2 linked regions of the Canis lupus familiaris genome follow. Each later gene encodes a partner of the first gene's protein in a complex. Links are inferred from orthologs where the notes say so. Each region holds a gene or a part of one and is shown in the gene's direction. Other genes may lie near its edges.

Region 1 (15,671 bases):
TCCCTGACGGGCTTGCAGAGGGCGCCTTTGGGACAAAATGGGAGGCTCCAGAGTGCTGAGCTGGAGGGTGGGGTGGCATGGCGTAACTGGGGGCTCTGAAGGTTTCCAGCCGAATCCAAGGCCAAGCCGACCCCACTGACTGCCTCTGTCGCACAGGAACGGTGAGTGGTGGAAGGCGCAGTCCTTGACCACGGGCCAGGAAGGCTTCATCCCTTTCAATTTCGTGGCCAAAGCGAACAGCCTGGAGCCCGAACCGTAAGTGGGCACTCCTCGTGGCGAAGGGTGGGAGCAGAGGCGGGGTGCTAGGCTGGCGGTGGATGCTTGAGGGCGATGGAGGAGGAACAGGCCAAACAGACGACGGCCTTCGCTTCTGCCTTGTGCAGCTGGTTCTTCAAGAACCTGAGCCGCAAGGACGCGGAACGGCAGCTCCTGGCGCCCGGGAACACCCACGGCTCCTTCCTGATTCGGGAGAGCGAGAGCACCGCGGGTGAGCGGCGGGGCGGGGCCTCGGGGCGGGGCCTCGGGGCGGGGCCTCGGGGCGGGGCCTCGGGGCGGGGGTGGGGGCCAGGCGGTCCCAGGGAAGGGACGCGGGCCAGGGTCGCCCCTCGCAGGAGGCTGCCTTCCCCCGCTCTTGCATTCGTTCACCCATTCTTTCGTCCAGGATCGTTTTCATTGTCTGTGCGGGACTTCGACCAGAACCAGGGAGAGGTGGTGAAACATTACAAGATCCGTAACCTGGACAAAGGCGGCTTCTACATCTCCCCTCGCATCACCTTCCCTGGCCTGCACGAGCTGGTCCGCCATTACACCAGTGAGCCCCAGCGGGAGCCCCTCACACGTGCCCCTGAGGCTCTTTCACCCGTGCCCTACCAGCCTGCCTTCCCTAAGCCCCTCTCAGGGTACCCTCCACCCATCTCCGTATGCTTCCTCGTTACTCGTTACTCGCAGTGGGTGAGCTGCGGTACCCGATAGCCCGGGTGTCGGGTGACAGGCCCACACACCCCCTACCAGTCCATTTCCCCTGGGGACGGGGACTTGGCCCAGTGGGGACTGATGGGGACACCCGAGTCCACCGTATTGACGGCCCTAACCCCCTCGCTTGTGCTCACAGATTCTTCGGACGGGCTGTGCACGCGGTTGAGTCGCCCCTGCCAGACCCAGAAGCCCCAGAAGCCTTGGTGGGAGGATGAGTGGGAGGTTCCCAGGGAGACGCTGAAGCTGGTGGAGCGGCTAGGGGCCGGCCAGTTCGGGGAGGTGTGGATGGGTGAGTGAGGCCCTCCGGGGCTGCGGGGAAGAGGGGATGGGGACGCGTCCGCTGAGGTCGTGAGGGCCTGACAACGTCCTGGTTCTGGCAGCCACCTGGCTCTGGGTGCTAGGGCTCCGAGTGATTCCCCAATCCCTCCCCTCCTCAGGGTACTACAACGGGCACACAAAGGTGGCAGTGAAGAGCCTGAAGCAGGGCAGCATGTCCCCTGACGCCTTCCTGGCCGAGGCTAATCTCATGAAGCAGCTGCAGCACCAGAGGCTGGTCCGGCTCTATGCGGTGGTCACCCAGGAGCCCATCTACATCATCACGGAATACATGGAGAACGGTGGGTGCCGCCACTGTGATCGACCGCTGGGGGGCGTTGTCATCCCCTCTGCCCCTGGTAGAAGATGGAGGAGATCTACCTTTTCGCCTGGTTTAGCACCAAGAGTTCTAGTTTTCCCGGGCCCCTAAAGACTCACCACCACACCAGGGATGGGAAGAGAGTGTGGTGTCGGAGCCTGTCTGGGAGCCCAGCGTAAGGTGGCAGGCTCTGGAATAGCTTTCACTTCTCATCTTCCCTGACCTGGAGTCTTGTTTGCCTTTTTCAAAGCCCTACCTTGATCTTGGGATGCTTGATTTCAAATGTGGATCTCTTGCCACGTTTCTTTATTCCTTTTGACCCTGACTCTTGGGAGGTCAGATCTGCCTCAAATCTCTCTTTTTCAGTTCTAGGTGGGCTCCTTGCCCTCCCTTGGGCAGATTGAGAGTCCCTAAGAAGATGGATAGAAGTTTCTAGGCCTTGCTTTGTCACTGATTTGCTGTGTGACACAGGCCAAGTCTGTCCCATTACTGGTGCTCGTTTTCCCCAAGTATAACATCAGAAATCTAGAACAGTCTCACCGTTCTAGAAAGAATTCAGAATAATCATTAAGGACTCTAGAATCTGACTGCCTGTGTTAGAATCTTGCCTTCACAATTGTGTGGCCTTGGGCCAATCACTTCACTGCTCTCTGCTATGGTTTCTTCATCTGTGAAATGGTGATAATACTACTGTAGTAACTTTCTCATAGGGCCTTCGTGAGGATGAAAGAGTCAGTGTCTATAGAGCAGTTAAAATAATGTCTTCAATATATTAACTGCTCAGTAAGTTTGTTCTTGTCATCTGGTTCTGATTTTTTGGGGGGTATAAGATCTGTCCCTCTTTCAGAAAGGGAAAAAAGCTCTTAATTGGCTAATGGATTCTGGTAGTAGCAAAAGGTTTTACCATGTGGGCCAACTTCAGTTGGTAGCTGCTTGGAGTTCTGTGTTGAGGATGCTGAGGCTCATTGGAAATGAGTGCTGGGATTGATCAGAAGCATCTGCCATGGCCCCAGTGCAGGAATGGCAGTACATGCCCACATATTGCCTGTGTCTGGGGGACCATTTTATCTTTGGCAACTAATTCAGCACTTGTAGTGGGGATACTTAGGCTAATGCCTTTACATAGGTTTTTTTTTTTTTTTAAGATTTTATTTATTTATTCATGAGAGACACAGAGAGAGAGGCAGAGACAGAAGCAGGCTCCATGCAAGGAGCCCGATGTGCAACTTGATCCTGGGACTCCAGGATCACACCCTGGGCCAAAGGCAGGCAGGCACTAAACCTCTGAGCCACCCAGGCGTCCCTACACAGGGTTCTAACCTCTTGAGAAGGGCTAGCAGTCACTAGCTCCATTCTAGCAACTCCCATTCCTGGTCTTCTCTCCTAGTCATCCTCTGCTACCAGATATGGCCTCCCAGGTCCCCAGGCACCTCTTTCCATACTCCATTCAATACACTCAGCACACATTTATCACTGCTTACTTTGGGCTGGGCACTTTTAGTATGAATGGACAAAACAAGGTTCCAGATTTCAGGAAAAGTTCATTTTAGTTATGTGGCACAAACCCCAGGAAAACCAGAGTCTTTGTACAGGAAAAAATTCCAGCATGCCATGGGGAATGTAGATTATGATGCAGTTTATTAGACCTGGTAACATCTAGAGAAGCTTCATAGAGGAATAATCTAGCTGGGCCATGAAAGAAAGAAAAGTAGAATTTTTAGCAGGCAGAGATGGGACAAAGAAACTTGGGGTGAGAGCCCAGTGGTCTATGTGGAAAAAAAAATCTCAAAATTGTCTAGGGTGGGTTAAGAGGCAGGAGTGGGGGAATGAGAAGAAACTACAATATGGCCTATGCAGGGCTTTGGACACCTGGCTAAGGAGTTTGGGCTCTACCGTATTGGTGACAAGAAGCTTACAGACTTCTCCAAGCATGCTCCATCCTAGTCCCCAGGAAAAGACTTTATATATCCTGGGCATCCTCACCCTAAATGCACCCTTCTCCATTCTCACCCCTTATTATTCTTTCTTCCACTTGTCAGAGAGCTTCTAGATAGCCAGTTAGGGGAGGAGGGTCTGAGAGCTTTCTGCCAAGAGCAGCTTGAGTCAGCAACTTTTGCTTTCACTTGCAGGGAGCCTGGTGGATTTCCTCAAGACCCCCCCAGGCATCAAGCTGACTATCAACAAACTCTTGGACATGGCAGCCCAAGTAAGCAGATTGGGGAGGGGCTGGGCATGCACATAGCCCACTGGGGTGAGGATGTCTGGCCCAGGACTGCTGACCTCTTACCTGGCCTGCAGATTGCAGAGGGCATGGCATTCATTGAAGAGCGGAATTATATCCACCGTGACCTGAGGGCTGCCAATATCCTGGTGTCTGACACCCTGAGCTGCAAGATCGCAGACTTTGGCCTGGCACGCCTCATCGAGGACAACGAGTACACAGCAAGGGAGGGTAGGTGTGGGATATAAGGGAAGTCTGGGGGCTGTAGGGTCTGGCCAAGCAGACCCAGGTGACCTCATTGCCTCCCTGCAGGAGCCAAGTTTCCCATTAAGTGGACAGCACCAGAAGCCATTAACTACGGGACATTCACCATCAAGTCGGACGTGTGGTCTTTTGGGATCCTGCTGACAGAGATTGTCACCCATGGCCGCATCCCTTACCCAGGTCAGGGCCAAGGGCAGGAACTGAAAGAGTGATGGGGAAGAGCAGCAAATCTGTGTCTGTCCACTCACTTCATCTGTCCCTGATTCAGATTCTGAATCTTTCTAGCTGCTTTTCCTGTATTCACGCAGGACTCCAGCATGCCCAGTCAGGTGCTACATTTCCCAGGGCTGGCTTCCATCTCTGTCTCAAATTCCTTCCTCCTTCAATAATCCCAGCTCTTTACTTTTGACATGGGCAGCCTAGGATGGTAGAAGAGGATCTGGCTAGGGAGGCAAAAGGCCTGCCTTTATTACCAGATCTGCCACTGATGCTAACTTTCTGTTTGGGTTTGATCAGATCACTCTTTCTTTCCCCATCTGTAAATTATGAGATTAGAACAGTACCTGGTCCATACAAAGCACTCAAGAGTGTTAGGTTTTATTATTATTATTTTTAAAAGATTTATTTATTTCAGAGAAAGAAAGAGAGCAGGGTTGGAGGGGAGAGGGAGAAGGAGAGAGAATCTCAAGCAGACTCCCCTCTGAGCATGGGGCTCAATCTCGCGACCCTGAGATCATGGCCTGTGCCAAAATCAAGAGTCAGACACTTCACAGACTGAGCCACCCAGGTGCCACTAGGTTTTATTATTAATCATCACTTTGGGCAAGTGACTTTACCTCTCTGAGCCCCAGTTTCCTGATATGAACAAACAAGACTGTGAAAGATCTTGACTTCTAGTGGGTACTCACTAAACACTGACTTGCCTTCCCTCTGAAACTCACCATCTAAAGAATGTGAGAGACATATAAACTAATTCCTACCCTCTCCCATCCCTTCCTCCAGTCTCTGGACAGAGTCCTTTACCCCTGAATTCAGCCCAGATGGATGGAATTTTTTGAAAGGAACTTCTAGGACACTCTAGGGAAAGGAAATAGGACACAAAGACAGAGTAGAGAGGTCATGGAGCAGATTTGTTGAAGCTTCTCACATCACCAGAGCAGTATATATAGAACTTTGCTCCTAGGAAGGTAACGGCACCTTAGCAATAATCACACCTCGGATAAACCTCATTGGCTATGATACTGCCACTGGGCAAAGCTAGGTAAAGTTACTTTAGAACCAGGTGAGAGCCTTAAGGCCTTCTCTGCCTGGGATTGGCCCCACCAGAGTCCAAGGGCAGCACGAGGACTAGAACTTTAGTCAGCCTGCCAAGGGTCATTACTGCTCCTCCACTGTGCCCATAGAGGTAAACCCATAAAGAATCTCTCTGTTAGGAAAAAAAAAAAAAAAAGCATGGAGCACCTAGCTGGTTTAGTCAGTATTATATGCAACTTGTGATCCATTGGTCATAGTTCAAGCCCCACATTGGGCATGGAGCCCACTTAAAATTAATAATAATTTTTAAAAAAGAAAGCATTGAAAGCATGATGATAATTGGCAACTGACACATGGCTTCAGGGTCAGAGAGACAATGGGGAATAATGGGGACCTGGGTGAACTTGCCTCTATTCAGAAGATGGTTGCTACTTAAAAAAAAAAAAAAAAAAAACGATGGTTGCTACTAAGATATAGATAGGAACCCCCAAAATAGATATTTTCTTTTTTAAGAGAAGCCAAAACTTGGAATTTTAGGAAAATTTGCCTATATCCAAATATTGATGATTGATTCAAATTATTTAAAAACATTGAAGAGGGGGGCATTTGGGTGGCTCAGTTGATTAAGTGTCCAACTCTTGATCTCAGCTCAGGTCTTGATCTTGGGTCTTGAGTTCAAGCCCTGCATTGGGCTCCATGCTGGGTATGGAGCCTACTTAGAATAAATAGATAGATGATAGATAGATAACACTATAGGGGTCAAACCAAAGTATGTCTATGGGCTATATTTAGTTTGGGTGCAGACTATGACTTTGCACCCTTGGCTCTAGCCATGGGCATTTAGTTCCCTTGTCTGTGTCCTCTAATATCCTGATTTTAAGGGATATCCTGAAATTATTTAATCTGGGTCATGAAGGTGCCTGGTGAATCTACCTTATGCAGGGTCTGCTCTGCTGAGGTCCAGGACCCATCTGGCTTCTTGATGCAGCATCTCATGTGCCTGGTCCCCAAACCCAAGAAGCTTCACCACTGTGCTGTCTGTGGCTCCCATACTGCCCTGAGCCCTGACCACCTCATCTTTCCCACCAAATCATAATAATCACAGATATTTTTCATGAAGCATCTCCTCTCCAGGCACTATACTTGGTGCCATATATGTAGTGTCTCATTCAATTTTCATAACAGCTGTATAAGGTTGGAGATACTGTTTAATCCATTTTCCAGATGAGAAAACTGAGGCTCAAAGAGGAGACATGGCTTACCCAAGGTCTCACAGTGAACATATAGGTGTTATTGAGTGCTTGAGCCATAGCAGACACTCCAGTGGCATGACTGACATTTGGCAGGTACCTGAAGTATATGGTCTTACTTTTTTTTTTAACATTTTATTTATTTATTCATGAAAGACACAGAGAGAGGCAGAGACATAGGCAGAGGGAGAAGCAGGCTCCCTGCGAGGAGCCCAATGTGGGACTCAATCCTAGGACTCCAGGATCACGACCTGAGCTTAACCACTAAGCCACCCAGGTGCCCTAGTATATGGTCTTACTACTGATGAAGACCAAGATCCTTTTGGATTGGTGCTCACATGGTACCAGTTAAATATTCTGAGCATCACCTCTGCTGTGGGTTTCCAAAGCCTGGACCCTTGATACTGTTTCTGAACCCATCAACCTCTAGGGATGACCAATCCTGAGGTGATTCAGAACCTGGAACGAGGCTACCGCATGGTGCGACCTGACAACTGTCCAGAGGAGCTATACCAACTCATGATGCTGTGTTGGAAGGAGCGCCCAGAGGATCGGCCAACCTTTGACTACCTGCGTAGTGTGCTGGAGGACTTCTTCACAGCCACAGAGGGCCAGTACCAGCCCCAGCCCTGAGAGACTTAGGGGCCTGGACTCTTCCCTCCATCTAGCAAACCTGGCTGGGGGAGAATCAGTTCTTGTGTCATACCCATGTAGCCTATGCACATCTGGACTCTGTGTGTGAATTCCACCCACGGTGGCACGTACACTTCTTGTGTCTTATACAGGGGTTCTATAGTTGTATGGGCTCTGCATGTGTCCTATAGATGTGTGGCATGTGTATATATGTCTTGGACACCTGTTCAAGTTGTCCCCTTATGGGCCCTTCTACTTCCTAAGACCACCAGAGAGAAGAGAGACACCTGTGATTGACACCAGCTTCTGTCTGCCCCCTTTTCCCTTTCCATCAAGAAGTTCCTTGAGGCTGGGGCCTTATTTGATACCTCTGTGTGCTCCTCCTTGGTGCCTGGCACACATTAGGAGCTCAATAAATGACTCTTTTGATGAGGACTGTATATCTCTCAGTTCTCCACTCCCATCTCCTCTTCCTTGGGAGGGGGGAGTAGGGGTTCAGAAGACGGAAAATAAGTCACTCTGAATTGGGGTGAAAGATGGGATGAGGGGGGATGTCTGAGCTTTTTCCAGTTCTGTTGATTTGGGGTTCCAAAAGGAAACTCCTACAGTTTGCTGAATGGGTTCTTTGTCTTTTTTTTTTTTTTTTTACTTATGATAGTCACACAGAGAGAGAGAGAGGCAGAGACACAGGCAGAGAGAGAAACAGGCTCCATGCACCGGGAGCCCGACGTGGGATTCGATCCTGGGTCTCCAGGATCGCGCCCTGGGCCAAAGGCAGGCGCCAAACCGCTGCGCCACCCAGGGATCCCCTGAATGGGTTCTTTGAACTCCTTCATACCCCTACCCCAAAGGCTTAAGGGTGACCTTTTCAGAACCTCCTAAGGAATTGGTGTGTCCCAGGATCCTCCCTTCTCATTATGTAAGGGCAATAGCATTTTTTACAGCTACTGATTCTGGGGCTATATTTGTACTCAGGTATGTTTTGATTCAGCTTCAAGATGTTTTTAAATATTTTAAAGTAATTTCTACTCCCAGTGTGGGGCTCAAACCCACAATCCTGAGATCAAGAGTCACATACTCTACTGACTGAGAGAGCCAGGTGCCCCTAAGATGTGTAGTTGGTTTTGTTTTGTTTTGTTTTGTTTTGAGAGCAGGAGGAGAGAGAGAACAAGCAGAGGGAGGGACAGAGGGAGAGGGAGAAACAGACTCCCCACTCAGCAGGGAGCCTGATGCTGGTCTCATTCCCAAGACTCTGAGATCATGACCTGAGCCATAGGCAGATGCTTAACCAACTGACCGCCCCCCCACAAGATGTTTTTAAACATTGAATTAATCCATTCTTTGGCAAATACTTATTTGTGATATATTTATTTATTTGAGAGAGAGAGAGGGCAAGTGCAGGGGAAGGGAGAAGGAGAGGTCATCTCAAGCAGACTCCATGCTGAGTGCAGAGCCTGACATGAGGCTTCATGCCAGGACCTCCCTGAGGTCACAAACTGGGCCAAAACCAAAAGTCAGACGCTTAACCAACTGTGCCACCCAGGCATGCCTTGGCAAATATTTATTGAACATCTACCATGTGTTAGGGATGGTTCTGGGTTCATAAAATATATAATAGATTAAAAAAAAATCTCTGTCCTTATGGAGCTTACATACAGTAGGACAGACAATAAATGTAGTTAGGGAATACAGACAATAAATGTTACAAAGAAGTAAATGATACAGTACACAACAAGGTGCTGAGTGCTAAGGGGAAAATAAAGCAGGGTAAGGGGAATTAGGAATGTCGTATTTGGGGGAGGTTTGCAATTTTAAGCAGGGTGGTCTGGGAAGGTCTTATTGAGAAGGTGACTTAAGCAAATATTTGAAGGAGATGAAGGAGCAAGCCACGTGGTATGGGGGAGGAGAGGCCAGGCTGAGGGAACCGCCTGAGGCAGAGCTCCTTTGGCAAGCACAGAGACATAGGTCTTGACGGGGGGCCTGAGGGGTAGAGATCCTGTGGTGCCTTGTGGCCTTTGCAGAAACCATTTCAAGAAGACTTTGTGGAGATTTTTGCAGAGCCATGACAAGACCCGACTTACTTTTCTTAAGCCTTTTTTTTTTTTTTTTTTTTTTTGAAAGAAGAAGAGAGCATGTGCTGGCACAGGAGTGGGGCAGGGGTGGAGGGGGAGGGAGAGAGAATCTTAAGGCTCCCCGCCCAACGCAGCCCAACGCAGACGCCGACACAGGGCTCTATCTCACAACCCTGAGATCATGACCTGATCCGAAATCGAGTCAGAAGCTTAACGGACTGAGCCATCCAGGCACCCTATGACCTGACTTACATTTTATTTTATTTACTTATTTACTCATGAGAGACGGAGAGAGAGAGACAGAGAGGCAGAGACACAAGCAGAGGGAGAAGCAGGCTCCCGACGGGGGACTGGATTCCAGGTCTCCAGGATCACACCCCAGGCTGCAGGCGGCGCTAAACCGCTGCGCCATGGGGGCTGCCCCCTTGACTTACATTTTAAAAGAATACCTCTTATTACTGTCTTGAATGTGAACAGAGTGAGTTAGCAGTCAATTTATAAAACTGGGGAGATTTAAAAAAAAAAACTGGGGAGATTTTGGATAAAACTACAGGTTTCTGTCTTCTCTTGGAAAAAAAGTCTTGAAGATTTGGCTTCATTGGGCTTACCTGTCCTCATGGAGCTGATTAGTGGCCACCACCTTCACGTAGGGCTTAAGCTCTTCCTTTGCCAGGGTCTTCTTTTGCTAGAGTCCCTTTGCCAAACAGTTGAAACTGAGTGTCAGTGGTTATCATCATGCTTGCACTGTTGTTCTCATAATGAAGAGGAAAATGAAATGTTTTTCACCTCTATTTCCAATAAAAAGTGAGAAAATGAAAGGTACCTGCAGATGGCAGTGTGTTTGAGGAAAGATGGGGGAAAGGCATTTTGCTTTATGAAAGTGAAAAGAATCCAATTTTAGAAATATGCAAAGCACCTGAATCAAACTAATATAAATCCACTTATTTTTATACCACCTGCCTCACCTCTATAAAGATCTGAGGTTCTGATTCCTGTTCTGCATTTTATAAAATGCTGCCACACCCATGACCTCATCTGATCCCCACCCTCCTCTTCTTTTGGATACTGTGTGCAGCATAGAGTTAGTGAACTTTGAATTCTTATCCTCTGCATTTTACAAAGAGGGAAGTGAGGGCCAGAAAGGTTCTAGCCAGGAAGCAGCAACACAGAGCTGGAAAAAGGGATTCCCTGGCTCTTTAGCTGTTTTCTTTCTTTCTCTCTCTCTCTCTCTCCCTCTCTCTTCCTTTAGCTGTTTCTATAAATCTTAAATTTTCTGTTACTTTTATTTTTTTAAGATTTTATTTATTTATCCATGAGAGACATGCAGAGAGAGGCAGAGACATAGGCAGAGGGAAAAGCAGGCTCCCTGCACAGAGCCGGATGCAGGACTTGATTCCAGGACCTGGGGATCACGACCTGAGCCAAAGGCAGATGCTCAACCACTGAGCCACCCAGGCGCCCCTCTTCTATTACTTTTATAATGAGTGGCCCAAATGCAGTTCTCAAATGAGGAACACAAGTGTCTAAGTGCCCAAGCACTCTTTAAATTGTACAGGCATAGGGTTACCTGGGTGACTCAGTTGGTTAAACATCCAACACTTGATCTCAGTTCAGGTCTTCATCTCAGGATCATGAGTTCAAGCCTCCAGATGGGTTCCACTCAGGGTGTGGAGCCTAATTAATAAATAAATAAATTGTAGAGGCATAAAAATGTATCTTATCAACTATAGGACCATGAGTTTGTAACTTACTTGGCACACAAATAGTAAGTACTCACTAAATATTAATACTGTTGTATTTTATTATTTTAATAGCCCATCACAGTGCTTTTCAGTTTTTCAGATTTCAATAATGAACAGTTGATGATTGATAAATAAGTTCAGTGGTCCTCAAAGTTAGGGTGGGGGCAATTTTACACTCCTGTCTTGCCATGGAAACAGTTATGCAATGTCTGGAAACAATTTTGGTGACCACAGCTGAGGGTGGGAGTGGAGGGTGCTATTGGCATCTAATGAGTAAAGGCCAAAGATGCTGCTAAACATCCTACACAATGCACAAGAGAGCCCCTTACAGTAAGGAATTATCCAGTTCCAAATGTCAATAGCTTCAATAGGTTCAGAAACCCTGCCCTAGTAGAAGGGGACAATCAGTGTCCTCCTATGTAAAGGCACTCTTCAGTGCTCGCGGGTGACAGCATCAGGGAGGCCCCGCTTTGGAGGTAAGAAAGGCTGGGTTCGGCCCCTTCCCTACAGTGTCTCCGGTGCACAGCAGGAATTCAGAAAATCTGTACTAGTGAAAGGTGAATTTAATTCCTAATTGTGTGGCTCTGAGCAAGTCACAAAGGTCTGAAGTTCATTATCCTTATCCATAAAACGGGAATAAAAAGCCTCTTCCAAAGCTTTTGTGAGCAATCGTTGAGATAAACGTCGGTAAAGGGGTTGCACAGCACTTGGTCCACAGCAGCTTTCTTTCCTTTGTCAAGTTGATTTCTCCTTCTTCCAAACTCAGGCTCCAAGCCAGGTTCAGCCCGGTCCTTAGCTGAGTGACCTTGTGCAAGTCACTTTCCTCCCCGCAGGCTTCAGTTGATTCTCCATAAAACGACAAAGCTGGCTTCTGGTCTCCCAGCGCACTTCCAACACCGAAACCGGACAGCGAAGTGTACGGATCCGTTTTCTTCCCCCGGGACTAATGGTACGGTCCCCGGGCAGCTCCCCCACCCCCCTGTCGCAGACCTTGGTACAGGCCCAGGGGGCCCTCGGCTGCCTCTCAGGGCTGCCCTTGCCCCCTGCCGAGTTCCGGGCCGTCCCTGCGCGAGCTGATTGGCTGGAGCCGTGCCCGGGCTGCGCGGCTATAGGTGAGCCCGGGAGGGGACGGGCGGAGCGGGCGGGAGGCCCGCCCCCTCCCCCCCTGGGTCGGACGCCGAGCGGAGCCGCGGGCGGGAGGCCGGACGGACCGACTGACGGGAGGGACGGGAGGCGAGCAAGATGGCGCAGACTCAGGGCACCAGGAGGAAAGTCTGTTACTACTACGACGGTGAGCACCGTGCGCGCGGCGGGGGCGGGGCCGGGCCGGGGCCGGGCCGGGGCCGGGAGAGGGAGGCTGAGGAGATGCGAGTGGGGAGGCTGGGAGAGGCTGAGGCGTTGGGGAAAGGCTGAAAAGAGGAGGCTGCGAGGAGGACGAGGCTGAGAGAGGAGGCTCAGAGGGAAGAGGCTGAGAGGAAAGAGGTCGAGGCTGAGGGAGGAGGCTCAGGAAAGAGGGCAGGGGGAGGGAGGAGGCAGGGGGAGGAGGCTGAGAGCAGGAGGTGGAGGCTGAGGGAGGAGGCTCAGAGGAAAGGAAAGGAAGTCGAGGCTGAGGGAAGAGGCTGAGGCCGAGCGGGGGTCTTCTGAGGAAGCCTGCGGTAACTTGGCCGGAGAGGGGTGGTTCTCAGGAAGCCTGATGGAGAGAGTTTGAGTGGGACCCCAGGAGAGGAGGCTGAGTCTGAGGGCGAGGCAGGATCTGGTGGAGAAGGGTGCAAGGATGTGTTTTCCTGCCGAGAACACAGAAGTCTTCCTCTACCCTTTTGCTTCCTCATCCTTTTTGGTGAGAGTCCTGCAAGAGTCCCCACCTCCTGTCACCAGCCTCCCCCCTCCCCCTCCGTCTCTCAGCTGGGCCTACACTTTGCTGCTGGAAATGGGGCCCCTGGGCTTGGAAGGAGAAAGATACAACCTGTTAAGACAGACTTTTTCATGTAACAGAAGCCTGTGGAATGGCTTACTCTGTACTAGGGACATTTAGGCGCTGAGGCCGTGGGGCTGATCAGGTCACTTCTCATCTTCCTCTCAGCCTGGATGGGAAGATAGATGGACAGTGACACAGAATTGCCTTCCAGGATCATGCTGGGATAAAGGAGAGCTCAGAGTGTTTGGGGAGCACGGAGGAGAGGCACCCAACTGAGACTGCCCACTTGGGGCAGGAGATGCCATCTCAGTTAGGACCTGAAGAACAGGAGTTAGTAGCCGAACCCAGGGAAGGCAAAGAGGACCGTAAATTTAGAAGAGAGAGGACAGCATTTTTGAAAGACGGCAGGTGTGTGTACAGTATAGGTTTGAGGGCAGAGTGTAGAAGGTCAGGGAATAGGGTGGAGGGAAAAGATGAAAGTCATGAGGCTGGAGAAGTAATCAGAGACTAGATCCTGAAGGGCTGGACACACTGGCTTACGGAAGTTGGACTTTATTCTGAGTGCACTTGTGAATCATTGAAGTTTTGTGCAAGGTTAGTGACATCATCAGATTTATACCTTAGAGCTATCACTCTGAGAAAGAAATTAAGTTTATGAATGTAGGGGTAAGGAAAAAGGTAAGGATCCCAAACTCCTGGGTTGGGCAGTTTAATGTGTTTGGAGAAGGCTATATCAGTTGATAACTTTGGGTTTTGTATTTCTACTCTTAAAAATACTTACTGAGGGATACCCCTACTGGGGGATATCCGCTTAGAGGTATCCAGTAGGCAATTGGCTATTCAGGTCTGCAGTTTATTTTTTTTTTAAAGATTTTATTTATTTATTCATGAGAGATAGAGAGAGAGGCAGACATAGGCAGAGGGAGATGCAGGCCCCCTACAGGGAGGCTGATGTGGGACTCGATCCCAGGACTCTGGAGATCAGGGCCTGAACTGAAGGCAGACGCTCAACCACTGAGCCACCCAGGCATCCCAGGTCTGCAGTTTAGAAGATAGAAATGAGAAGGTAGAGATTTTTGGTAGTTATCAGCATACAGATGGTAATTTTAGTTACAGAAGAGGATGTGATCATGGGGATCCCTGGGTGGCTCAGCGGTTTGGCACCTGCCTTCAGCCCAGGGTGTGGTGATCCTGGAGACCCGGCATTGAGTCCCACATCAGGCTCCCTGCATAGAGCCTGCTTCTCCCTTTGCCTGTCTCTGCCTCTCTCTGTGTGGGTCTCTCATGAATAAATAAATAAATCTTAAAAAAAAAAAAAAAGAGGATGTGATCACCCAAGAAGTTTTTTTTTTTTTTTTTTTTTAAGATTTTACTTATTTATTCATGAGAGACACAGACATAGGCAGAGGTAGAAGCAGGCTCCCTGCGCGCAGTCTGATGCAGAACTTGATTCCAGGACCCCGGAATCACAACCTGAACTGAAGGCATATGCTCAACCACTTAGCCACCCAGGTGTCCCTCACCAGAGAAGTTGTATACAACATGGAAAGAAAAGAGGATCCCGGGTGAAATTCTAAGGAAGTGGACTGAGGAAAAGTCTAGTGTATTCTTTATGCTCTGTACTCTTCTGTCATAGTGCTTGTCACTGTGTATTGGAATTGTCTGTTTACTTGTTCATTCTTCTTAGATGGTAATCTCCTTAGGGAATGGGATCATGTCTTATCTAGCTCTGTATGATCAGCCCCCAGAACAGTGCCTCATTCATAGTGGGCTCTCAATAAATACTTGCTGATTAAATTGTACAGAGGGAATATAAGTGAACCAGAAAGTCTTTTCTTTGTTGTTTTTAAGTAGCTCCACTCTCAGCATGGAGCCCACCATGAGGCTGGAACTCACTACTGTGAGTCAGATACTTAACCAGCTGAGCCACCCAGGCACCTCATGAACCAGAAGTCTTTGTTACAGTAGCCAAAAGAAGGAGGGAGTGGCCAGGTGTTGGCAAGAACTATTTCTTATGCAGGTTTGCAGTGAAACTAGATTGCAGTAGATTGGAGAATGAATGGATGGGTGAAGAGAAGACGTCAGATTGAACCCTTTTCAAAGGAAGTTTGGTTGAGGCAGAGAGAAAGAGTTGTTTATAAAGAGGGACATTAAAAAAAAGGGACATAGTGGCTAAGGGTTGAGCATATTCAAAATCCAAATGGAGGGGTGCCTGGGTGGCTCAGTGGTTGAGCATCTACCTTTGGCTCAGGTCATGAACCTGAGCTGTTAAGTAGCTGTTGTGAAAGAGGGAGCTGAGGAAATAAGTTTGGAAGAGTCCTTCCATTACTGCTGGGCAGCAGTGAGGGCCCGTTCGAGGCTGGAGCCTTTGACTTTGTAGCCATATGAGTTTGCACAGTTTTGTGATCTCTACACCATTAGTTTAAAATGAGAAAAAGTGAAAAGACCTTAGTTTTTAGACGAAGGAGAGTTACTTTTTGAGAAACCATTTGTGAGTTTTACAGAGGTGAGCACGGGACTCAGAAGCTTTGCAGTATTGGGCAAGTTACTTTACCTTTGTAGGCCTCAGGTCACTCCTGTAAAACCGAAAAACCTTGAGGGGCACCTGGGTGGCTCAGTTGGTTAAGTGCTTTTGGCTCATGTCATGATCCCAGTATCCTGGGATTGAGCCCCTCATTGGGCTCCCTGCTCTGTGGGGAGTCTGCTCCTCC
Region 2 (15,671 bases), on another chromosome or scaffold:
TTTTCCCTTGGTCCACCCTGCGGACATCTCCCTTGCACCCACCTTCGGCTCCAGGCTGTGCTCTGCAGGCTCCCTTCACATCAAAGCTTGTTGAAAGCTGGCATTCCTGCCAGAAGCCTGGATGCCTATTTACTGGCAAGAAGGGGCTAGAGCTTAGTGGCAGCTGGAGGTGGAGATGAAAAAGAGGGAGAGGCCAGGGGCACTCTAGGCAAGATTGACAGAGCCAGAATTGGGTCCTGGCATGTGGGACCAAGAGGAAGAGAGCTACAGATGTGGGGAGTTGAAGACAGGATACAGAAATGCCCAGATGTGAGCAGAGAAATAAGAAGAGAGAGAGAAAGAGAGAGAGAGAGAGAGTGATGCCAGGACCTGGGGGACCAGCAAGCCCTCCCAGCCCCTCTCAAGGGGCTATGGTGTACAGGATGCTATTGTACTGGGGCACAGTGCCTCTGGGGAGGATGAGGATGTGGGAATCAAAAGCCTGCTCTCTGGGGCGGCAGCGGAAGCCCAAGTCATCAAAGCAAGCAGCAGATGGAAACCCATAGCCTCCTCCACCTAGCTGAACCCTGGGTAAGTTGGAGCAGTACAAGGAGCTGGAGGTGGGGAAGTAGCCCTCTGGCACAGACCACAGGATCATGGCGTGAAGAAGAAGGAAATGACCACCATTTGGGGAAGGGTCAAGAATGTTCCTAGCCTTCTCCAGGCATTCATGCAGAATTTGGACACCAGGGAAGGGATATTCCAAATGGAGACTCCTTTACTCTCTGCTCACTAAGAACACAGTGAGTTGTGATAGGGGGACAGCGGAAGCCACTCTCAGATGGAAGGGTGGCTGTACCGTAGTCTCTCCCCTCCCCACGCCCCATGCTAACTGGTAAACAACTGCACCCATGACTAGCCTCTTTCCTCCTCTTCCGGAGTCCTCATGATTTCTTCACTTCTTATTTCCCTTGTTTAGAAAACAATTCTATCAGGGGCACCTGACTGACTCAGTCGGAAGATCATGCAACTGGTGATCTCAGGGTCATGAGTTCAAGCCCCATGTTGGGTGTAGAGATTACTCAAAAAATAAATAAACAACAACAAAAAATTCCGTCAAGCCTCTGCCTTGAGTTAGGCCCTGGGACATTCTTCCTTCAGGCAGATGGAGTGAGTGGAGTTGGCTTTTTTGTCTTGTTTTAAATCTTCCGGCAAATCTCATTAGGAGGTGCATGTCCCCAGCACCCATCTGAGTACGACAGCCCTATCATGGATCAATACCCAACAGGAAACAGAATCTGCCTCGGATGGTTCAAGAGACTGCAGAAACGAGGTTATTCCCAGGGGTGTGAAGAGGGAACCAGACAGTTCATGGAGGCACACAGATGTTACCAATAGCAGGCAGGGTCCTGAAGGGGCAAGGGTGGAATGATGTTTCCGGAACCCAGTGAGGGTTTGAGCTGAGCCACCTGAAAGGAGCTACAGTCAGGGTGTGGAGAGAAGAAGGGGTGAGGGAAGGAGTATAGCTATTGCCAGAAAGCATGCCAGACTAGGAAGAGAGTTAGGAAAAATGCTCCCACTTCTTTCCCTGCCCCTCCCACCTCTTGTGGGTTCTTCCCACTGGCCAACCCCAACTAGTAGCAGGAGGGCAAGGGAGCCTGGGTGGTAAAGTCTGTCCAAATCAATCTCCTTATAGAGAGCAGGGCAGAGAGGTAGGAGAATGGCCCAGGGATGGGGCGGTGGGGGAGAGGTGGTGGTGATGAGAGGGCACAAGAACAAGCAGCATGGATGGGGATGACTTGGCTTCATTCAGGCCAGGGTTGGCTGTGTACACATACTTCAATGACCCACTTTATTATTTTTTAAACAATTTTATTTATTTATTCATGAGAGACAGGCAGAGGGAGAAGTAGGCTCCCTGTAGGGAGCCTGATGCAGGACTCTATCCCAGGACCCTGGGATCACGCCCTGAACAGAAGGCAGACACTCAACCACTTAGCCACCCAGGTGTCCCTCAATGACCCACTTTAGTAACAGAATTATTATTATTTTTTTTTCTTCTATTTATTTATGATAGTCACAGAGAGAGAGAGAGAGGCAGAGACACAGGCAGAGGGAGAAGCAGGCTCCATGCACCAGGAGCCTGATGTGGGATTCGATCCCGGATCTCCAGGATCGCGCCCTGGGCCAAAGGCAGGCGCCAAACCGCTGCGCCACCCAGGGATCCCTAGTAACAAAATTAATATGTTGAGTACAGAAAGAAATCAGTGATTTTTCCTCCTTCATTCAATTCAATTTCGTTTAACTTAACCAAACATTCCAAATCCCCTCTCTATGCTCCAGCTGGTGCCAGGCCTACACTGGTGGCAGAACTGGCTGGACCATCATCTTCATTCTGAATGAGATCAGGCTTCAGGGCCGGGGTGAAGATGGGAGGGAACCCAAATCACCACATCATGAGACAGAAGGTGGGTTGTGCCCTCAGGGCATCAACAGGGTGCTGTAGGAGTGGGCAGGTAGCTGCAGAGCTCAGACAACAAAGACTAGGCTAGGGGATAGAAAAACGAGGTTGGATGCAGGACCTCATCTTGCCAAGCTCTAGAGGCGTTCATGCTGCTCCCCACCCCCATCCAGGCAACCACCCCTCTGAGGCCTCCTTACAGTCTGGGCCTGGAGGCCTGGAGCTCAGAGATCCGAGCCCTGTTCCTGCCTGCCTTCCAGACATTATCTGGTGGCCTTCCTCAAGTCTCCACTTCTTCCGTGTCATCTGGTCCCCTTCCTAAAACTTTACACAGACCATGTCACATTTCTGCTCAAAAAGCAGCTGTTTTGGGGCACCTGGGTGGCTCAGTGGTTGAGTGTCTGCCTTTGGCTCAGTTCGTGATCCCGGGGTCCTGGGATCGAGTCCTGCATCGGGCTCCCTGTTCAATGGGGATAGCAGATATCCTCTACTGATATCTCTGCCTCTCTTTCCGTGTCTCTCATGACTAAATAAATAAAATCTTAAAAAAAAAAAAAAAAAAAAGCAGTTTCTCCTAGTTGCCTGAAGAACAAAGCCCTGACCTTCTGGCCAACCTGTCCAGGTTCTCAGTCAGGCCTGAGATGTCTTCCCAGATCCCACCAGCTCCCTCCCTGAGTCTTCTCCAGACTCCCAGCCGGGGCACAGCCCTGCCACCTGCCACTCTTTCTGACGCGGGGCAGCAGAGCGGTGGGGTGCTCCTCCCCTTTCCTTTCCCTGTAACTCATGGTTTGCAAACTGGAGCTGGTGACAGCCACCAGGGTGGGGGGTGGGGTTGTGAATACACAGCAGGCTTGACCCACCCCCAGATTCTGATTCAGCAGATCTGGGGTAGGGCCTGAGAATTTGCACTTCCAACAAGTTGACAGGTGACACCTAGGCTGCTGCTGATCCAGGACCACACTTGGAGGATCACTGCTCTAACCTCCCATTGTGCTAGGTCCATTCAGAGCTTTTCTAAATTCTCTCCACCCCCCCAGCCTCAACCACCTCCGGAACTCACAGAAACCAACTCTGAAATAGCGTTTTTCTGCTCTCCCTCAGAGGCTTTACAGGGTTCGTCTGAGAGCAAGCAGGGAGTTTACCCACTGCTCCGTCTCTTCCTCACCCCACACAGTGTGGCCCTCCCCAAGTCCTGGGAATCTGCCTCAAACCTGCCCTCAAGGCAGTCTGTTTTTCTACACTTCCATCATTCTGAGTTGTCTGAGCTCAGGCCTATCTTCTCTCACCAGGATCATTTCAATCATACCTCCTGCGCGCTCGGCCTCTTCTAGCTTGTCTTTCACACAACAGCTGAAGGGGTCCATTCTGCAAATCAAATCATGTACTTCTCGACATAAAGTCCTTGAGTGGCTCCGTAGTGCCTAGGGTCACAGCTCGGTATCATAGCATGGCATTCAAGGACCTTCATGACCTGGCCACGCCCCATCCCCCTGCCCCTTCTCAGTCTCCACCAATTTGCCACCTTCTCTGTGAATCATTTTTTAAATTTAATTTAATTTACTTTATTTATTCATGACACAAGCAGAGACATAGGCAGAGGGAGAAGCAGGCTTCCTGATGCAGGACTGAATCCCAGACCCCGGGATCACCACCTAAGCCGAAGGCAGACACTCAACCCCTGAGCCACCCAGGCATCCCTGTGAATCCTTTTCTGATTCCACTTAGATGGCCTGGGCACAGCATTGTGTGGTGTGTCCTGGTGGATGTCTGCTTAGAAGTATGCACATTTAGGTCCCTGGCTTGGCTGTATGGGTGAGATTGCATACCATCCCCATATGTCCCTTTGCACCCCAGGCTCAGTAAATGCCTACTAACTAATGATCAGTATCTCCCTTAGGCCCTGCACTTTGTGCGGTGTGGGGGGAAGGCCCAGGTCCCTGCCTGTCTCAGGGAATCCACAATGAATCAAGAAGCGGCTTTTAGGCACCTGCTCCTGATGCTGCAATTGGGTGAGTGCGCAGATTTGGAGATCCAATGGGAGGAGGGGCTGCCTGGTAAATGCCAGGGTGGGGAGATGGGGTGGAGGCAGAGCAGCAACAGCCTTGAGGCCTGATTTCCTTCTTTTCTACCTAGTGATGCTCCCAGCGGTCACTCCTGTAAGAGAAGTGGTGTTGGGGAAGGCAGGAGATGCAGTGGAGCTGCCCTGCCAAACTTCCCAGAAGAAGAACATACACTTCAACTGGAGAGATTCTTCCATGGTCCAGATTCTGGGAAATCAGGGCTCCTTCTGGACTGTAGGTAGGGCGGCCCAGCTCCCATGCAGGGAGGAAACCACCATGGACTGAGCATCCCTGGTGTCAGAGCTCTGCTCTTGGTAAACTCTGAGATCCCAGAGGGCTCTGGTTGACAAACTCAGGTGCATTCTCCTAGTCCAGAGTTTCCCTGTGCTAACTGCAGGTGGCCTGGGAAATGGCATTTGGTGTCTATTATAATTTCAGAATTTTAATATTCATGGCCTTAGTTTAATAGATATTAGAAAAATAACTATCATAAAACCTGTGATTTCATGAATATTATTGCGACAGACCCATGTTGATACATTTTTACTTACCAAGAAACAGAGAGAAGACAAAATATGAGTATCAAGAATGAAGATATTTCTATAAAATATCTTCTTTATATTACTATAAAGACATTAAAAGGATAATATGCAAATATTATATCTGCAAGCTAATAAATTTAACAATTTATATAAAATGGAAAAATTCCTTGAAAATCACAATTTACAATTTACCAACTGACACAAGAAGAAACAGAAAATTTTTGAATAGCTCTTTCTACTAAAGAAATTGAACTTGGGGCATCTGGGTGGCTCCGTGGTTGAGCATCTGCCTTTGGCTCAGGTCATGATTCCGGATCTTGGGACCAGTTTTGCGTCAGGCTCCCCACAAGGAGCCTGCTTCCCCCTCTGCCTGTGTCTCTGCCTGTCTGTGTGTCTCTTATGAATAAATAAATAAAATCTTAAAAAAAAAAAAGAAACATATCCACAGTATCATTATCATCCATTAAAAATGAAATATAATCCCTTAATGATGATTAATATCCAGCCAGTGTTCAAATTTTCCCAACTACCTCTAATATTATTTTTACATTTTGTTTATTTGAACAGGATCCGCATAAAAATTTATGCATGGTATTTGGTTGATATGTCCCTTAAGTCCCTTTGAATGTCTATATTTACTCCCCAGACTTTTTTCCCCTTACCACTGATTGGTTGAAGAAACCAGGCAATTGTCCTGTGAAGTTTTGTACATTTGAGTAGGAGCTGGCTGCATTTCCATGGTATTATTTAGCATGTTCCTCTGTCCTTTGAACCTCCTATGGATTGGTGGTTAAACTAGAGACTTGATTTAGTTTTCATTTAATATTTTTGATAGGAATACCTCATAAGTGGTGGTTTGTACTACCAATTTCATCACATCAGGAGCTATGTGATGTCTATCATTCTTTTTGTGCTATTAAGATTAATTGCTGGGTTCAAGTGTTAAATTTAAGTGGTAATTATAAAACACTATTTTTAGTTTCTTAGTTTTTTTCTAAAGATTTTATTTATTTATTCACAAGAGACACAGAGAGGGGGGAGAGAGAGAGAGAGAGAGAGACAGAGACAGAGACAGAGACACAGGCAGAGGAGAAGGCTCCATGCAGGGAGCCTGATGTGGGACTCAATTCTGGTACTCCAGGATCACACCCTGGGCTGAAGGTGGCGCTAAACTGCTGAGCCACCTGGGCTGCCCTCTTAGTTTTTTATAATTGCCTTTTGTTTATGTCAGATGATATGGACTTTCTGTTTATTATAGTGATGTAAACTTTCTTTTTATTTATTTGTTTTTATTTTTTAGAGAGAGAGCATGAGACAGGGATGGGAGGGGCAGAGGGAAAGGGAGAGAGAGAGAATCTTAAGTAGGCTCCACACTCAGTGTGAAAGCTCAATGTGGGGCTTGATCTCATAACTCCAAGATCATGAATTGAGGTGAAGTCAAGAGTAGGATCCTTGGGATGCCTGGGTGGTTCAGTGGTTGAATGTCTGTATTTGGCTCAGGTCGTGAACCCATGATCCTGGGATCTAGTCTGGCATCTGGCTCCCCACAGGGAGTCTGCTTCCTCTTCTGCCCGTGTCTCTTCCTCTCTCTGTGTGTCTCTAATGAAAAAATAAATAAAATCTTTATTAAAAAAAAAACGAGTAGGATGTTTAACCAACTGAGCCACCTCAACTTTCCTTTTAAGATAGATTTATTTAATCTAAAAAAGTGAATGCATTTAAAGATGTTAGATTAATAAGATAGGTAAATTTGGCCAAAATCATGTATAAGATGTGTGAACGGTTGAAGTCTGGGAAATATGGCTCTAGTACAAGACTTTGATTTTACCAGGGAGAAGTCCCTGGCCTCAGTTTGTGCTAGATTGGAGGCAGAGCTGGGGCTAGAGCTTTGGTCTTTCAACTTTCAGGCCTAGGCTCTCCCATGGAAAGTCATCCTCAGGGCAGAAAAACCTGAACTGGCCACAGTGTATTGAAAACCATCTTTGTTAAAAAAAAAAAAAAAAAAAGAAAAGAAAAAATAAAAAGAAAAAGAAAAAGAAAAGAAAAGAAAAGGAATGAAAAGAAAAGAAAATTATCTTTGTTAAAAATGGATGTCTCCTCTTCCTGCCTCTGTCCAGTGGGAGAAAAGTCCTCTGTTTTTGGCAAGGTGGTTCTTGCTGGGCCTCCAGAGTTACAATTCAGACACCCACCCATGTCCATTCTTCATGTTTGGACATGAAGAAAAAGGGGAATATTGGGCTGGATCTTTTTTTTTTTTAATTAAAATATATTTTATTTATTTATTCATGAGAGACACACACAGAGAGAGGTAGAGACATAGACAGATGGAGAAGCAGGCTCCATGCAGGAAGCCTGATGTAGGACTTGATCCCGGGACTCCAGAATCATACCCTGAGCCAAAGGGAGATGCTCAACCACTGAGCCACCCAGGTGTCCCGTGGGCTGAACCAAAGCCATTCCCTAAAATTTACAAAACCCCCAATCCCTGGTCTCTTTCTGGTAAAGACACACAAAGCAGAAATCACCAGGTTAACTGCTCTTTGCCTGCCCGTGTCTTGTCCTTCAAACAGCTATTTAAAGAAGACCCTATGGGGGCCTCTGGGTGGCTTAGTGGTTGAGCATCTGTCTGCCTGTGGTTTGGGTTGTGATCCTGGGGTCCTGGGATAGAGTCTCGCATCCCCGTTCCCCACAGGGAGCCTGCTTCTCCCTCTATCTATGTCTCTGCCTCTCTCCATGTGTCTCTCATGAATAAATAAATAAAATCTTAAAAATAAATAAAATAAAGAGGACCCTATGATCAAAGTAACCTGGGTCCTCCCCTGGCCTGTGGGCCCCTGGTACCCATTATGTAATTTTCACCCCTGGATAGAGCTCAAAACACTCTCACAAACTCTGCAAGTGATTTTCTTGTCTTAGAATTTCATTCTGCTAAATTGCTTGCTAAATAAGTAGACTTTTAGCTTATTCATTTTAAAGTTAAAATGATTTGAAAAAAAATTATACCGGTACACGGTAAACATTTAAAACCATAAAAATGATACCCAGTGGGTTAAAAACAAAGTTCAGCTGAGTAAATTTGAAGGCCTAATAGGCTTTATTCAGTGATTCATAAATTGGGCAGCATCCGGTCTAGCAAATAGAAAAGAGCTCCGAAGAGCTGGGGAGAGGAAAGATTTGTAAAGGCAGAAAAGGAAGTTTATTAGCAAAGAATGCATTGTTTCAGGCAAGGTCACCTGCTTAAGGGGACGGAAGGGGTCTGTCAGGCAGATTTCCTCACTAGTGCTGACCAGGTAATTCGAGATTAACTCATTAAAGGTTATGTTCCTGGGAAAAGCTGAAACTGCAATTAGGTTAGATATTAAGTCTTGGTTTGCTGATGTGGGGGTTAGCATAACTGATTCCATTTTGGTCCTGTTGGCTCTTTCTTTTAACAGTTCCCCTCTTTTGATTACATCTTTCAGCAAAATAGAGTGGCATTAGTGCCACTCCCAGCTACTACTCTAACATTCTTGAAGTTTCTGTTGATTCTTTGGTACTCACAGGTTGTGACTCCTCTCACCCCCCGCCCCCGCCCCCAATCTTTGTGACATTCACAGGTTATAACTTCAGGCTTACAAATTTTAAGTTGGTTGTCTTTTTGTTCCTTTTCTGATGTTCCAGGTTTAGGGAGATCATTTGCTTGGTGGTTAGCAAGTGCAAACATGCATTTAAAGCCTTTGAGAGGGGGCCACCTGTGGCTCAGTGTCACCTGTGAAGGCATCTGCCTTCAGCTCAGGTCATGATCCTGGGGTCCTGGGATTGAACCCCAGGTCGGGTTGGGCACACCTCTTAGCTGGGAGTCTGCTTCTCCCTCTTCCTCTGCCCCTCCCCCTGCTTGTGCCCTCTCTCTCTCTCTCAAATAAATTAAATAAATAAATAAATAAATAAATAAATAAATAAATAAATAAATAAATAAAGCCTTTGAGAAGATACAGTGCACCAGATAGACTACTGTGATCATTATAAGCAGGGTAATTCCCAATGTTTGGAGTGCACTTTGGAATCATGATCCCTAAAACCCAAAACAATAAAAATCAAGTAAGTTAAAAAGAAAGGCACCACTAAAAGAGTCACTTTTCAAACCAAGAGGCTTGTTCAGTGGCCTTATGTAATGGAGTTTCAACTTCCCCAGAGGTGTTAATCCAGGCCCAGCAGGTGGTGTTGGCCACAACACAGACACCTCCTTGCTCAGCTAAAAGAGATTTAAAGTCTGTCTTATCATCAGGAATAACTTTGGCCAGAATCTAAGGATTTTTGCCAGGCACTTTTTATTTTAGCAGTGGGTTCTGCAATACTTTTTTTTTTTTTTTTTTAAGATTTTAAAAAAATTTATTCATGAGAGAGAGAGAGAGGCAGAGACGCAGGCAGAGGGGAGAAGCAGATTCCATGCAGGGAGCCCCACGTGGACTCGGGACTCATCCCTCCCACGTCTCCAGGACCACGCCCTGCGCCGAAGGCGGCACTAAACTGCTGAGCCACCTGGGCTGCCCCCATCTGCAATACTTTCTAGAGTTAAGGATAAGTTCTTGATTGTAGCCTCATTTGCATTTAATAGTAGCCAGGGGAGCCCTGAGCTACCAAGGTAATTTTGAATCATGAATGCCTCCTGGTAATTCCTGCTTGAGTCTGTGGTTCAGGACTGGAAAGGTGACAGTCAGGGAGACCAGTAAAATGTAAGGGTCTGTAGACCATACAGGTGGTTTTATTCTGATTACCCTTGTCTTGTGTCCCTTTCCTAGGTTTGGGATTGTAAACCAGAGGCAGGGAAATGGACCAGGGGGAAGTCTCTAGCATCATGGACAGATCAAATTTCTTGGTGACAAATCTAGCAGTCTGAAGGGTTAACCTTCACCCCCACCCCCACCCCCTGCACCCCACCCTTAGTAACGACCTGGGAGATACAGATGAGGGTGTTATCTTTCCAAGCCAATACCAGAGTGAAGGAAAGAAAGAGAAAAGAAAGAGCTTCATGTTCAGTTTAAGTATGAAGCCTTGATCCAGCTTCTTTGGTGGAAGCAATTTATCTACTGTCAGCTACATCTCTTCTTAGACAATTTGTTTTTTTTTTTTTTTAAATCTTTTTTTTTTAAATTTTTATTTATTTATGATAGTCACAGAGAGAGAGAGAGGCAGAGACACAGGCAGAGGGAGAAGCAGGCTCCATGCACCGGGAGCCTGATGTGGGATTCGATCCCAGGTCTCCAGGATCGCGCCCTGGGCCAAAGGCAGGCGCCAAACCGCTGCGCCACCCAGGGATCCCCTTCTTAGACAATTTGATTCTGAGGTCTCCAGCTTAAAGGTTTTGAGGTGCACAGGGCCAGATGGCAGGTGGAGACTTCTTCAGCTGTAAGGCATGTACCCAAGGCTCACGTCCCTGGAGTTTGGCTGCCATTCAGGTAGCAAGGAGGACCTGGTTTAGTTCCATCCAAGGAGATTCAAAGGCAGTTTTTATTCTTAGTGATTCCAGATCAAAAGGAGGAAAGAAAATCAGAAATGTTCATTTGGAGTTGTAGCCAGATATTTGAGGAAAGTAGGAGAATTCAGGACCCAGTCTGGTATACAGGTATATAAGAACAACTCAAAGACTGCTAACAGGGTTAGAATCTAACATGGACAAAGATGCAAACATAATGTTTGTCTCTACAATTATCCCCATTTTTATCAAAGATAATCACAATAAAACAAATTTGCTTGCATTAAACTTGGTCTGGTTATTTACATAAGTGCAGCAAGAATAGTAATTGACCATATAAACTTTTTTTTTTTTTTACTACTTTGCTGGAGGGATGCCTGGGTGGCTCAGTGGTTGAGCGTCTGCCTTTGGCTCAGGGCTTGATCCTGGGAAGTCCCACATTGGGCTCCCTGTAGGGAGCCTGCTTCTGCTCTGCCTGTGTCTCTGCCTCTCTCTCTCTCTCTCTCTGTCTCTCATGAATAAATAAATAAAATCTTTAAAGAAAAAAAAAAAGACTGCTTTGCTGAAACCTTATGAATAAGGTACCAGGCCAATTTTTCCAAGGGGCTTTATTGGCTCCATGAAGTCGACCTTTCTTTCTTTCTTTCTTTCTTTCTTTCTTTCTTTCTTTCTTTCTTTCTTTCTTTCTTTCTTCTTTCTTTCTTTCTTTCTTTCTTTCTTTTTCTTTCTTCCTTCCTTCCTTCCTTCCTTCCTTCCTTCCTTCCTTCCTTCCTTCCTTCCTTCCTTTCTTTCTTTCTTTCTTTCTTTCTTTCTTTCTTCTTTCTCTTTCTTTCTTTCCTTCCTTCTTTCTTTTTTTTAACCTTATATCTTCAAAGCTGTCTAGTCATATCTGGGTCTATGCCCATCTCTCTTAAATAAAACATTCTAGTCAAAGTCTTGGTAATAGGGCAGCCCAGGTGGCTCAGCGGTTTAGCGCCGCCTTCAGTCCAGGGCCTGATCCTGGAGTCCCAGTTCGGGCTCCCTGGGGGGAGCCTGCTTCTCCCTCTGCCTGTGTCTCTGCCTCTCTCTGTGTGTCTCTCGTGAATAAATAAATAAAATCTTTAAAAAAGCCTTGTCATCTAACCAATGTTCCCATTTGTGCCCTATTACAAGGATAACATATTCTCATTGAACTTGTGTAAATAACTATTTTGTCATAAAAAGAATACTCAAGAGTTTTCAAATTTTGGAGGGATCAGATAGGGAGAAAAAGTAAATGTTTCATTTTTGATCACAGAGGCGTCATATTTTACTAACATTACAAGTCATAAATGGCTTAAGAGGAAAAATTTCCTCAGTCTGGAAAGATAAAACATTAAAGAACGAGCGATGTTTCAAGCAAGAAATCATAAAAATTATAATCATCCTCCTCAGCTCATTAAGTCCCATGTTATTAATTCTTGCTTAAATCCAGGTTTTTTCCCCATTAATTCTGGAAATTCTTACCTAGTTCACTTTTTTATCTTAAAGTTATCAGAACCGTGTGTTTGCCAGAGTCCTTTCAATGAATCTTCTTGGTGAAGAAGTATTGTAAGAATTTATGCAAAAGCATCTGTGTAAAACATGAACCATCTATAAATGACAAAAGACGGGTATCCCTGGGTGGCTCAGGGTTTAGCACCTGCCTTCCCCTGGAGTCCCGGGATCAAGTCCCACATCGGGCTCCCTGCATGGAGCCTGCTTCTCCCTCTGCCTGTGTCTCTGCCTCTCTCTCTCTCTCTCTCTCTCTCTCTCTCTCTGTGTCTCTCATGAATAAATAAATAAAATCTTTAAAAAAATAAAAATAAAAATAAATAAATGACAAAAGCCTCCTAAAAAAGGCTCAGTGTTAAAGACATGATGAAAGTTCATTATAATGGAATTGACAAGGAAGTTTGGTTATTTCTGTGACACAATTTTTATTTTATTTTATTTTTTGAGAGAGAGAGAGAGCGTGCACAAGCAGGGGCAGAGGGAGAGGGCAAGAACCCCAAGCAGGCTCCATGCTCAGTACAGAGCTGGATGTGGGGTTCCATCCTCATGACCCTGAGATCATGACCTGAGCCAAAATCAAAAGTCAGATACTCAACCAACTAAGCCACCTAGGCACTCTGAAACACATTTTAAAATGACAATTGGAGTCTTACTTTAGGACAGTTATTTTCTCTTCCCTCAACAAAATAGCATTTTCATTTTTCTTTTACCATACTTTTTTTTTTTTTTTTTTTTTTAGATCCTCAGTGGCTTAGTTGGTGAAACCATCTGCCTTCAGCTCAGGTCATGATCCCAGGGTTCTGGGATCGAGCCCTATGTCTGGCTCCCTGTTCAATGGGGTGTCTGCAGCTTCCTCTGCCACTCCCCCCAACTCATGCTTTCTCTCTCTCTCTCCTTCTCTCTCTCAAATAAATAAATAAAATCTTAAATCAATCAATCAATCACAGGGCCTGAACTCAATGATCCTGAGATCAAGACCTGAGCTGAGGGGATCCCTGGGTGGCTCAGCGGTTTGGCGCCTGCCTTTGGCCTAGGGTGTGATCCTGGAGTCCCAGGATCGAGTCCCACATCAGGCTCCCTGCATGGAGCCTGCTTCTCCTCTGTCTGTGTCTCTGCCTCTCTCTGTCTCTCTCATGAATAAATAAATAAAATCTTAAAAAAAAAAAAAAAAAAAAAAAGACCTGAGCTGAAATCAAGACTCGGATGCTTAACTGACGAGTTATCAAGGCATCCCTACCATACCTTCTTTTACCAAAAACTTACATCCTACTTTCCTTGTAAATGGAGATGTTTCCCTTATTATTTCAAGTAGTTTAAAATATATATATTAGACTTTTTCAGCCCATAGAAACCTTTAATTTCTAGCAGAAACTATGAAGTAAGCAATTATGAACTATTTTTTACATTAGCATTCTGTGGTTTGGCAGATGTATAAATACATTTTATAATTTCTAGAAACATATGCTTTCTCATAGTAATTTTTTTTAATGTGGCACAAAACATGTTTTACTTGTAGATGCAAATATCTTTAGTTCCTTTATAAAGGGAAGCCAAACGTGGATAAACCTACGTTCAGTAATTCATGTTTCAGCATTTTATCTTATTTAGAAATGATCCAGATATTTAGACTATCCATTGTTTAATTTAACTTAGCAAAATTTTAAGGTCTTAGTTTACTAAAAAGGTTGGGGGAAACCATTAAAAATTCACCTAAAAACTTTTATCTCACTTTTATCTATTTACTTGTTTTCAACAATTATTATTTTTAGATTAATTATAAAAATTTCATCATGGCAAGTTATTTTTTTCTTGCAGGTAAGTTTTTTTTAAGATTATTTATTTATTTATTCATAGAGACACACAGAGAGAGGCAAGGACAGAGGCAGAGGGAGAAGCAGGATCCATGCAGAGAGCCTGACATGGGACTCGATCTTGGGTCTCCAGGATCAAGCCCTAGGCTGCAGGCGGCGCCAAACCGCTGCATCACCGGGGCTGCCCACAGAGAAGTTTTTTAACAGAGATAACAGGAACTTATTTGACTAGTAAGCCCAGGTATAATAAAAGTTCTATATCTGCATTGTTTTTAATGTTGAGAATTCTAAAGACATGTCTATTTTAATTAAGCCAAACAAATGTAAACTATTTTTTTAATTACCAAAGATTCCTCAGATCACATGAACCTAAAAAGTGTTTGGTTTCATTTTTACTACGTTTCTAAGAATTTTATGAATATATGATTCATATAGGCACTTAATTATCTTTAGCCCATTTAAATAGAGTTCTTCCACAAATTAATTTTTTTTTAAATATTTTTTTTTCAATTTTTATTTATTTATGATAGTCACAGAGAGAGAGAGAGAGAGAGAGAGGCAGAGACACAGGCCGAGGGAGAAGCAGGCTCCATGCACCGGGAGCCCGATGTGGGATTCGATCCCGGGTCTCCAGGATCGCGCCCTGGGCCAAAGGCAGGCGCCAAACCGCTGCGCCACCCAGGGATCCCCACAAATTAATTTTGACAATATCATCTGGAGGTAGAAAATACCACACATCTGTAATACACACACACACACACACATATATACATATATAGACTCATGTAAACATATAGACAGATGCAGAGACCTTATAGGTTTTATTTTTAAATTACTACCATGAGACCGGTATGATAAATCAAAACTTACTAGCTTATAAAAGAACAGTTGGAAAAAGTTAAGATTACCTGCTCAGATGGCTAAAGCTTTTTCTTGATATTAGTGGCAAGACACAATATTTTTAATTTGTCCAAGTCCCAAATAACATTTCTCCCCTTTTGTTTTTCTTCTGATAAGAAGAATTATCTCCCTTAAATTTATAGACTAATAGGATATACACATCTCAAAGGCACAGGGAAAGAAGGCAAGTTCCCTTAAGAAGAATTTTTGTTTCTTAGAGCCAAAAAGTTTTACAGTACTTACAAGTCTTTTGAGATAAATAGAGGAGGTTTGGGGATTGATTTAAAAAAATTTATGTTTTTTGAATTGTTTCTAGGTAAAGGCAGCTGCTTTCAATTCTCCAAGGAGTTGGGCTGTAGCCTAAAAGATAGCAAGAAGCCCATCTGGCCATCCAGTCACATTATCTTCAAATCGCTCCCCCACCTTCTCTGGGCACAAAGTTTCCTTTTAGCATAAGGGAGAGAAGACTGAAAAACTTAAAAGAAATCCTTTTAGGGGTGCCTGGGTGGCTCAGTCAGTTAAGCATCTGACTTCAGCTCAGGTCATGATCTCAGGGTCCCGGAAAGGAGCCCCACATCAGGCTCTGCACTCAGCCCGGAGTCTGCTTCTCCCTCTGCACATTCCCCAGTTCATGCTCTCTGTGTCTCTCTCTCTCAAGTAAATAAATAAAATCTTAAAAAAAAAAGAAATCCTTTTAAATACCTTGTCAGTGTTCAGCTAGGACAAACAGTAAATATTCTTAGCAGTATTGAACAACCCCTTGGACTCAAGAGGTAGCCGCAAAGAGGATGCAAAAGATATTTTATTTTCTCTCTCCACTTGGTACTATAGTCAGAGATACAGAAGAGCTGACACTGGTAGGAGTTCTCACCTATAGCTGGGCTCTGCTAGTTTTTCCAGGATCCCATCTGTAGCTCTGCTATCTACCAGAATTTGGCAAAATTTTCCATTAGT

What was found.
Region 2: the proteins of LCK (region 1) and CD4 are in contact, whole or in part, in an NMR structure (PDB 1Q68), measured with the Homo sapiens proteins. The link is inferred for Canis lupus familiaris from reciprocal best matches to the Homo sapiens genes LCK and CD4. Residues at the interface, in NP_001036236.1 of Homo sapiens: Glu15, Ile17, Val19, Cys20, Asn22, Cys23, Tyr25, Pro26, Ile27, Val28; in NP_000607.1 of Homo sapiens: Ala429, Arg431, Ile435, Leu438, Leu439, Lys443, Thr444, Cys445, Gln446, Cys447.

What each region holds. Positions count from the first base shown.
Region 1 is NC_049223.1:68,330,865-68,346,535, reverse strand, and holds the end of LCK (tyrosine-protein kinase Lck), read left to right. Parts: intron 1-156; coding exon 157-255; intron 256-383; coding exon 384-487; intron 488-661; coding exon 662-811; intron 812-1,111; coding exon 1,112-1,264; intron 1,265-1,412; coding exon 1,413-1,592; intron 1,593-3,738; coding exon 3,739-3,815; intron 3,816-3,907; coding exon 3,908-4,061; intron 4,062-4,142; coding exon 4,143-4,274; intron 4,275-7,028; coding exon 7,029-7,231; 3' UTR 7,232-7,666; downstream 7,667-15,671. Other genes in the region: HDAC1 (histone deacetylase 1), read left to right, coding at 11,992-12,157. UniProt on the Homo sapiens protein: Non-receptor tyrosine-protein kinase that plays an essential role in the selection and maturation of developing T-cells in the thymus and in the function of mature T-cells. Plays a key role in T-cell antigen receptor (TCR)-linked signal transduction pathways.
Region 2 is NC_049248.1:7,847,426-7,863,096, forward strand, and holds part of CD4 (T-cell surface glycoprotein CD4 precursor), read left to right. Parts: intron 1-4,337; 5' UTR 4,338-4,400; coding exon 4,401-4,449; intron 4,450-4,573; coding exon 4,574-4,738; intron 4,739-15,671. UniProt on the Homo sapiens protein: Integral membrane glycoprotein that plays an essential role in the immune response and serves multiple functions in responses against both external and internal offenses.